Mus musculus: one gene and its partner. The protein of the gene in region 2 binds, or shares a complex with, the protein of the main gene of each other region. Links are inferred from orthologs where the notes say so. Each region holds a gene or a part of one and is shown on either strand. Other genes may lie near its edges.

The links. The genes of interacting proteins can lie anywhere in the genome.
Region 1: the proteins of Rasip1 (region 2) and Rap1b are in contact, whole or in part, in a crystal structure (PDB 5KHO), measured with the Homo sapiens proteins. The link is inferred for Mus musculus from reciprocal best matches to the Homo sapiens genes RASIP1 and RAP1B. Residues at the interface, in NP_060275.2 of Homo sapiens: Val147, Lys149, Ala156, Ser157, Gly158, Ala159, Asn160, Tyr161, Lys162, Ser163, Val164, Leu165, Glu181, Arg182; in NP_001010942.1 of Homo sapiens: Val24, Gln25, Asp33, Pro34, Thr35, Ile36, Glu37, Asp38, Ser39, Tyr40, Arg41, Glu54, Leu56, Phe64.

Annotation. Positions count from the first base shown.
Region 1 is NC_000076.6:117,842,586-117,847,410, forward strand, and holds the start of Rap1b (ras-related protein Rap-1b), read right to left. Parts: upstream 3,390-4,825; 5' UTR 3,246-3,389; intron 1-3,245. UniProt on the Homo sapiens protein: GTP-binding protein that possesses intrinsic GTPase activity. Contributes to the polarizing activity of KRIT1 and CDH5 in the establishment and maintenance of correct endothelial cell polarity and vascular lumen.
Region 2 is NC_000073.6:45,625,832-45,630,651, reverse strand, and holds the start of Rasip1 (ras-interacting protein 1), read right to left. Parts: upstream 3,116-4,820; 5' UTR 3,062-3,115; intron 2,887-3,061; 5' UTR 2,883-2,886; coding exon 2,746-2,882; intron 2,239-2,745; coding exon 1,571-2,238; intron 513-1,570; coding exon 157-512; intron 1-156. Other genes in the region: Izumo1 (izumo sperm-egg fusion protein 1 precursor), read right to left, coding at 3,444-3,624, 4,371-4,629. UniProt on the Homo sapiens protein: Required for the proper formation of vascular structures that develop via both vasculogenesis and angiogenesis.

The sequences.
Region 1 (4,825 bases), on a different chromosome or scaffold from region 2:
TTTAAAGAGAAATAGTCTTTGACTATTTAGTGTATAAACCCTAAACTAACCTTGAACACTTTATTTTCTGGGAATGACACATGTAAATCAATGAGATCTCCTTGACATTCAATTATAAAATGCCAAATGTAAACTATACTTGGGAGGTGGACGTAAGATCAGCTAAGTTCTGTCTGTTGTCACGCGTTAATTTTTCCATAACTATTACATACCTAAGAGCTGAACATAAGCTTCCCATGCCAATCTTAAGACTTTACATGTAAAACAGCACATACAGTTATATGTTATCAATCTCTGCATAAGCACTAAGTTCTTCAAAGACCTTTACGTACATAGATCAAGTTATTCATATATTTATTTATAGACCAGGTTTCACTAGCCCAGGCTAGCCTTAAATTTATGGCAATTCTCCTGCTTCAATCTTAACTGCTGGGATCACAGCTGCAAAATACCATGCCTCGCACCACTTTAAAAAAAGGGGGCAGTGGTGGTGGTGCACGCCTTTAATCCCAGCACTTGGGAGGCAGAGGCAGGTGGATTTCTGAATTCGAGGCCAGCCTGGTCTACAGAGTAAGTTCCAGGACATCCAGGGCTACACAGAGAAACCCTGTCTCAAAACAAACAAACAAACAACAAACAAAACAAACCAAACAAAAAGGGCTGGAGAGATGGTTCAGCAGTTAAGAGCACTGACTGCTCTTCCAGAGGTTCTGAGTTCAACTCCTAGCAACCACATGGTGGCTCACAACCATCTGTAATGGGATTTGATGCCTTCTTCTGGTGTGTCTGAAGACAGCTACAGTGTACTCATATAAATAAATCTTTTAAAAAGGATTCTTTATTTCAACTTGTTACTCTTATAGGCTCTTTAGTGGGAGGGCTCACTTTCCCTGTATAGGTCAAAAGAAAATACTGGAATCATTATAAATGACCAATGATAAAATGATCAACGTGGAAAGTGAGAGATTCCCAAAGAAAATGTTTAATTCTTTTTAAAATGATTACACTGTTCTCTTTAGTCTCTGAATTAAGTCCCAAACATCACTATGTGCCCAGGTAAAATGCTAGGGACTAAGAGTAAAGCAGAATTCCTATTCTCATGGTGTGTTCAATGAACTCTACTGAACTTTCATCTGAGTGTCTATGTAACAGCGACATGCTAGTCATTTGAGGCATGCAGAAGAAATCTACCCCTTCCTTGGACCTTACAACTTGGTAGAACAGAGAAACACACACAACAGTAACAGAAGACAGGAAGTGATACAAGCCACGGAAAGAACAGTGGTAAGACAGACAGAAAAAGAAGAAAGACACGTTCATCATTTCTGTGTCCCAGACCACAGACTAAAAATTAAGCCGGCTTAGCATGGGGCCCTTCAGATGTTAATCTGAGGTTCGATACATTATAGCACAAGCAACTATATGTCCTTTTGATTTTACTTTGCAGCTTCCACAGATAAGGTCACTGAACTTCTGTGTCAAACAAGAAAGTACAAGGGAATATAATGTACTACAGAGATTAAAAGTATGGATATCAAACAAGACTGTCATTTGGGATTCTGTGTCTCTAAGTTAAAATTATTTCCTCCTCGGAGTATTAACTTCCTCTAACCAAAACCAGGGGATGAAACTACCTAAGGGGTTGACGTATTCCATACCATTTAGCTAACTATGGCACTCTTGGAGAAGAGAGCATAATGGGACCAATAATCTCTACCAAGATGTAATTCACAATTAAAAAAAAAAAAAAGTCACATTGCTTCCTGTGGATTGTCCTTTATGGATAGACCACGGCTTTACAAATCAGCAGACTCAGGTAATTGGTTATCTATTTTAGGCCTTAGTTTCCTCCTCATGAAACGACAGGGTGGGACCAGATGATTTAAAGAGTCTCTTTCCGGCCCTAAAAAGCCCCATGACTCTATTATGACTTAATACACTGACTTCATATCAGGCTTTAAGAGTGGTAAGGGCTTTAAATTAAAAGAATTTCTCCATTCAATTAAGTTACTTCTTGCTAAGATAAACTCCTTTCAGGCAAGTCTCGACAACGTTCTAATTATACAAAAGAAAACTGAAAAAAAAATGAATTTACAAGCTAGAGGCACTCGGTATATATTAATACACACTGCCAGCAAAGCAAACATTTCAACGAGACTCAATTGATTTTTAAAATATTGAAAAGTCCAGCCTGCATCGTAATGTCAACTTTCAACTTAGTAAAAAAAAAAAATGTGAGTTCCTATTACTGTAATAAAGAAGTGCTTGTATGCACACGAGTCGAGAGTCGCAGGGCCAAAATATCTTTCTAAAGCATTGGGGGGTGGGAGGGGGCAAGCGAAAGGAAAGCAATCCCATCTGCTCAAAACTCTTAAGCGAAGATGTTTCTTCCAAAGGCATCTTCTCCTCCCGCCCCCCTCCACCCCAAGGAAAATCCCGAGGGCCTAGTTCCCAAATTCACGGCGCTGATAAGTCAGTTTCAGAATCAGACACCTCGAGATGGCGAAAAGAAAAAAAAAAAAAAAAGGAGAAGAGGACAAACTTCCTGGATTTTTCTCTCTGCAAGAGAAAAAGAGATTTCCTCTTGCTGACGAAGGAAAGGCCCCTTTAACATTTTTTTTTTCCCTCTGCACGGTGGCGGCTGCCAGACTAGGTGGGGCTCGCTCCGCTGCCTTCCTCCTGCCACTTCCCGCAACAAATGAAGCAAGCCAGCCCCGATCCGGGCAAACTTTTTCCCTGTCAGGCTCGAGCCCGCGGGGCGCCGGGGAGTGGTCCCCCCGCCCCCCCTCGCGACGCTGCTCCGCCCGCCCGGCCCCGGGCTGGGAGAAGCCCGGGTGTCCGCAGAGGACAACTTTCTGGTTTCCGCTCTAACTTCCACCCACCGCCGAGGCGGGGAGCGGGGCGCGGCGGGGAAGGCTGCGGGGGCCTCGGGCAGGCGGGTGGGGGCTCCTCGGGCGCTCACTTCCTCCGCCATATTTCAGACATTTGACCCCTTCCGCAAAGCGCGCTGCTCCCCCGCCGCGGCCGCGGTTCCTCCCCGGCCGCCCCGAGGCGGCGCGCCCCGCCGAAGCGAGCGAGGGACTCGGGGGGCCCCCCGCCAGCCACCTGCCGCGCGCCCGGGCCACCCTCGCCGCCGCGGGGGCCATCGGGCTGCCCCGCCCGGTCCGCGCCGCACCCCACCTCTCCCCTCAGCCGGCGCCCGGCCCCCCGCCAGCCTCGCGGCCACGCACGCACCCCGCGCCCACCTCTCGCGCTGTCACCGGGTCGCCGCCGTCGCCCTCGCCGTCGCCGCGCGTTCCCTTCGGGTCGCTGCTCCCGGCGCCACGGCGGTCTCTGCCGCTGCCGCCGTCGCCGTCGCCGCCGCCGCCGCCGCTCGGGCTGCTTTCCACGCCTGACTCTGGGCGAGGTTTGGCGGTGTCGCCTTGACGTCAGGCGTTCAGCCTCGCTCTCGCTTCCGCCCGCGGGCGGGGCGCGCAGGAGCGCAGCCCGGGAAGGGGCGGGGCCGAGGCGGGCCCTGGCGGAGGGGGGCGGGGTCTCGTCGTGCTCGCCTCGCAGTGGGCCTCGCCCCGGCTCTCGGTCGCCGGCTCCGGCCGTGGCCCTTCTCCCCTGCCCTGCGTCTCGTTGCTGCGGTCGGCCTCGCCCCCCGCTGGCTGGGCTGTCCGACATAATCGGTGTCAGCCTCAGCGGAGCGCATCCGTTTCGACCCCAGCGGGTAACGGGGAGCTCAGGGGCTTGGAAACCTCTGACGCCTTCGCGGGGCCTCCGAGTGCACAGTCGCCAACGCCCCCAGACCGTCGGTGTTCGCGTGGTCCTTTGTGCTGGGGAAGTAACAGAGCAGCAGTTCCCACTCCCAGAGCGCGAGGGCAGCTTTTCATTTTTCAAATGGCCTTTCTTTAGGTTTGACAAGTATTTCAGCCTGTGGTGTGTTAAGCAGGGCCAGCTGTCCAAATTACCCTGCCAGACGCAGTTCGCGAATGGAGGATTCCAAAGCATGCTTATGGCCTGTGCCTAAGTGAACAGTTTATAGAATTAAAATAATTGGTTCATGGAAGAGCATGCCTGGGGCGCCTTCATGACTTTATAGATTACTCATAGATGTCAGTCTATGATGTGACTCCGAAAAGCTCTGTCCAAAAATGACTTGTTCCAAAGAGCACAAGAACTTACATCGATCTAGGTAATTAGAATATTTTCTCACCATCACCTTTAATATGAGAATCATGCTATCAGAGCTTTGTTTGGAAGACTTTGTTTCTGCTCTGATTACGCTCTCTTCATTGCGTGGTCCTGGCTGGCCTGACCTTGCTATGTTGACCAGCTTGGCTTTCATCTCAGATACACCTGCCTCTACGTATGGAGTGCTGGGGATTAAAGGCATGCGCCACCACTGCCAGCGAGGGAAAAGGTTTTGATGAACAAAACTTGAGAGGAAAGTACTGAAAGGAGTAGGCAATTTAGCTGGCCCTCCCTGTACAAATTATTCTGGAAATTTAACGAACCCTAGAAGAGAAATGGAGACGTGACCACTACGCTAACCTGAGTTAAGTGAGCGAGTAAGAAAGAATTATAGCTGGGTCTCAGGATGCCAGTCTGTAAGAGCACACCTCTTTCTTCTGCAGACTGAGCAGGAGGTGGCTCCTTGCAAATTCTAGGTTGCTGAGGCCACAGAGTAAGTTAAAGCCAACCTAAACGGTTTTGTGAGATTCTCAAGAAGTTAAAAAAAGGGGGGGGGCATAGCTTAATGATCCAGTACTTGTCTAGCAAGTGTCCGAGTGTAGTAGGTTCAACCTTTAGAACAACAAAAAAAGAAAAAACCCATAATTGA
Region 2 (4,820 bases):
TTGCATCTGCACTCCACCTCAGCTCCCACCGTGCTGCTTCCTACTTGGGAACCCTGTGGGAACGGCCATTATACTGGAGAGGGCCTCATCCCAGGGCATTCTGGGTGTTGTAGTTTCTTCTGATGTGGCTCTATGAGTAGGGGAGATAGTGCTAACCTGAGCATCCTGGTAGCCCTGGAGCAGAAGGAAGTAGGGACGGTTGCTGGGTGCCTGAATGAGGCACTGAGTCAACTGATCGAAGTCTCCAGGGTCCGTTGGTACCATCTGAGCATCAGCTGCCCCTGGGGCCATGCTAAGGGCCTGCTGCCTGCGTTCCTGCTGCCTTCGCCTCCGCCCCTGTAGACTCAGCTCAGACACGCTTCGACGCAGAGACAAATTTTCAGATCGCTCCTTGCCCCCGGACCCAGTGGGGGTCCCGGATCCTGATCCTGGACCAGGACTGGCCAGAGCTGCCCCGCCAGATGCTGCCCGAGACCTATTCTTCTGGGTCCGCCAAGATGGGGCGTTTGTGCCTGTGGGGAGATGAGGAACACAGACTGTTAACTCTGGACATTGGTTTTGCCTGACTCCAACTTGGCGTTGTCAGCTGAGAAATGCATTCTTTTAACATGCATTTAGGAGCAATCACTGTGTGTCAGCGACTGGCCCAGGCAATAACAGTGAGAACTGCCGCTGGGGAGATGCAAACAATAATTTCTTCCTAACAATGTTTTCTAGAAGTCCATAGACTCACAGAAAGTTCCCTACTGAAAGAGGCTTAACGAATAAACATGTTTTTCCACTAAAAGAGGAAAAAAGATTCCACTTCATCTGTCCGTGGACACCAGAGATAAAAAATGTGTGGCTCGAAATGTGTGCTCAGAAAGGCGTTTTTTTTTTCCCTTGAGAGAGAAGAGACGACAGTAATTGTCATTCTTTTGAGTGGTTATTGGTGTTTAGCCTGCATCTATATCTACGGGAAGATGTCAGATCCCCTAGTAGCGGAGTTAAGGACAGTTGTGAGTTGCCATGTGGGTGCTGGGAACTGAACCAGGGTCCTGTGAAAGAGCAAGCCAGCGCTCTTTACCGCTGAACCAACTCTCTAGCCCTCCCTATTCTCTATTAAGTATGTGCTATGCCATTTATATACGTTATTCCACTGAACCTTCACCTAGAACTCCAACCCTGTCTTGGTTAAAATAAAATAAGCTATACCACAAAGGTAAAGTAATAAAAGATATATCATGTAGGTTAACACCCCTTAACCATGCTACCTACTGCCCTTATCAGACCCGGCCTGTAAGTTCCGCCCCAGAATGGCACCACCAGTTTTGTCCTGCTGGCTCCGCTCCCCTCCAATTACACCCCACTCCAGCACATCCAGTCCAGAGTCTTCCCACTCTGTGTGCCCTGCCACCAGAACCTCCCAGAGCCCTCCCTCATCACCTCTCACCCAGGTCCCTGCCTTTTATCATGCAGGCCCCGCCTCCTCTCCCTGTAAGCCACGTCCCCATCACCTCCCGCCCAGGGTCCAGTCATCTTACTGCCCCCTAAGTCCCGCCCCAAGTCTCTGTGCCCTTCCCTGGCTGACCGTCTGCATCCGCAGCCCCGAAGGCCTCCTGCTCCAGCCGTCGAGCCTCCTCGCGGCCGCGCAGCTCAAAGCGCCGCGCCCAGCCCGGACGGGCGCGCCACAGGTCCTGCACCAGCAGAGGGCGCTCCGCGTCGGCCAACACCCGCAGGTGCTCGGCACGCCACTCGCCTCCGCCCACGCCGACCGCGGGCCGGCCCAGAGCGTCGCAAAGCGCGTAGGCGTCCACGCAGCCGCTGTCGCCCGCTCCGCGGCCGCCCGTCAGCCCGTAGCGCTCCAGCGCCTCCGCCACCAGCTCGCGCGCGGTGGATCGCTCCGTAGCCAGCACGCTCTTGTAGTTGGCGCCCGACGCCAGCCCAGAAGCGAAGATCTTGAGCACTCCCGGGGGCACCGCGGCACGCGTGGGCAACGGGGGCTCCGGAGCTACACCCGCCGCCAGTTCAGGCAGCTTCTTCTCGCTGGCCCAGCGCTGCGCGCCCCCAGGCGTGCCAGGACCCCCGGCGCCGCCGGCCCCTGAGCCCCGAAACAGCTGCGAGATGCGCTTGGCTCGGCTGCCCGACGCTCCCCCCGCCGCCTTCACCGCACCTACGCGCCGCAGCTCCACGTGCGGCGGCGGCGGCGGCGGCGGCAGGGGCTCGCTGCTTCGGCTCCCCGTGTCGGAGGACGAGGACCTGAGGAGAAAGAAGTGGGCAGAGAGGACACAGAAGAGAGAATCAGAGACAGAGACACAGAGAGAGACAGAGACACAGAGAGACACCCAGAGATAGTGCCCAGAAAGAGGGGCCAAAGACACAGAGAAACCGAGAAAGGGGGAGGGACAGAAACTCAAGAGTCAGAGACAAAGAACCAAAGAAAAGGGACAAAGGGATGGGAGCAGAAAACCAAGATGGTGGTGTGCGGTGGGAAGAATGGAGATAAGAGAGATAGGTAATAAAATTAATAAAGATATGACCCTTGGTAAGAAATAGGTGAACAGAGAGAGGGGATGTGTACTGCGTTCCATCCCAGTGCCCACTTCTTCTCTCCCTGTGCCTCGACGTCACTGTGTTCCACTGTCACCCCCCAGCTCGCTTGTCTATTTAGGACAGGAACCACTGCCCACTTTTGTAGGGTCGCTGGCATGACCCAGTGATAAACAGGGACAAATGGCAGGCATACCATAGAGGTTGACCACTTACTTGACAGAGGCAGCGCTGGGCCAGCGCCGCCCCAGTTTGGCGAGCTGTTTCCTTGGGGAATTGATCCACAGGCCCACTGGAAGATGGAGCTTCCCGAAGCGGGGGCTTCCGCCCTCCTTTCGTTCACCAGATAGCATGGCCCTAAGGGAAGAGGGGAAGGCCCCAAGTCCTAAGGCCACAGTCGGGTGGGGTGGGGTAGAGTGGGGAGCTACGGAAGAGAGAATCAGTTCTGGTTCCTGAATCCCAGGGAGTAAGAGGGGCAAAGAAATGAGCTCCTAGGTCCCAGGATGGGTGGAGTCACTGTTGTGGCTCTTACCCTGCTTCGGGTCCCGTAGCACCCGGAGGCCCTGGTGCTGTTGGCCTCCGTTAAGTCCCAGTCCCTCTGTAAAGTGTTTTCCTCTGCCCAAGCTCCCAGCACTGGGTGGGGGACAGGAAAAGGCAAGAGGAAACCCGGCAGGAAGAGCGGGGAGGGGGCGTCCTGTGAGGAGACCAGGCCTGGGGGAGGAGATGAGGCAGGGCTGGCCCTGGCCTGCGCCTTGATTCTGGGCCCACCACTCACTCATGGGCCACCTAGAAAGGGAGGTCCCATGTTCCAGCTACAACTCCCTCAGATGGCGGGGGAGGGCACATCCAGATCTCCTCTCTTGGAGCCAGAAGTCAGAACCAGTCCCCAAAAGTAAGTCAAATACAAATCTTTATTAGTTTTCTGTTGCCTCGCTCTTATCTCCAGAGTAGTCAGAGTTAAAATCTGCCTGAGAGGCCTTCTTCAATCCCATCTGTTGGGACAAACTCTGATCTGACTTGGATCCTGACGCGGTGGGTTTGACTTCGTCACTTGCATTCTTCAATTTAGCGCTGACTTTCCTAAAGTGAAGTACCCTGGGGCAGGACATAGGTGCACAGAACCACATTAGGTCACAGGTTGAGTGAAGTACACACTTTCCTGAACCGCCCCCCCCCAAGCCTAACTTAACAGTTTATATAAGCCTTGTCCTCCTAAGTGAGCCCCAAAGGAAAGTGCCCAGTAGCTTCCTGTCCTGTTGCCAGCACTGGATTGTAGGATGCCCTCCCTCCACCCAGGCCCGACCCACTCCAAATCACTTCCCTCCACAAGGCCGTTTCCTTTCCATCCATCCATCCGTCCATCCAAGCCCTTGTCTGCACCCTTCTATAAAATCTCTCCATAGCCAAGACTACACTCCTCCATCAAGCCACTCCCCTCCACCAAGCCCCTCCTCTCCGCCAGCTCCCTTCCTTCCATCAAGCCTGCCTCTGTCTTCAAGCCCCCCTCTTACCCAGACCCCCAAGTCCTCTATCAAGACATGCTCCGGCCCATTGGACACACAAACTTTATATGCCCCAGTACAGGGGAATGCCAGGGCCAAAAAGGGGGAGGGGGTGGGTAGGGGAGTGGGGGTGGGTGGGTATGGGGGACTTTTGGTATAGCATTGGAAATGTAAATGAGCTAAATACCTAATAAAAAAATGGAAAAAAAAAAGACATGCTCCTTTCAAAGCTTGTCTCATTCCTGCTTTTCCTCCACTGCACCTGCGTCTCTTCCCTTCACCCAAGTCCACTTTATCTAAGGCCCACCCTCCCTTTAAATTTCCTGGTGAACAGCTCACGAGATAATGATGCTGGCCACAAGAACCACAAAGCCAAGGGTCAACAGTATTAAGAGGCGAGTTTTCATTTTTTTCTCTGGATTTTGAGCGACTGTAGGTATGAGCTCCGGGTACAACTCTGGGTGCAGCTCCGGGTACAGCTCCGACTCTGGCTCCTGCCCCGGTGGTGTCTGTGGAGTCACGTGGACAGGAGTCTCGTGCTCCTCTTGGGTTATGATGTTCGGTGGTTGGTTTTCCTCTGAATGCTTTGGGGGCAATACTGACAGAGGAGAACCATAGGGCAGTCCTGGCAGCAGCCAATAACTGCAAGCCTACCCCAAAACCCTAGCCTTCTCTAAAGGGTGGGCACACCCCAGTAAGTCCAACTGAAGCCTAAGACAACCCAGTTAGGCAGGAAACCATACCTCCAAGACCAGAAAACACACCTTCTAAGGGAAGCCACACCTCTCA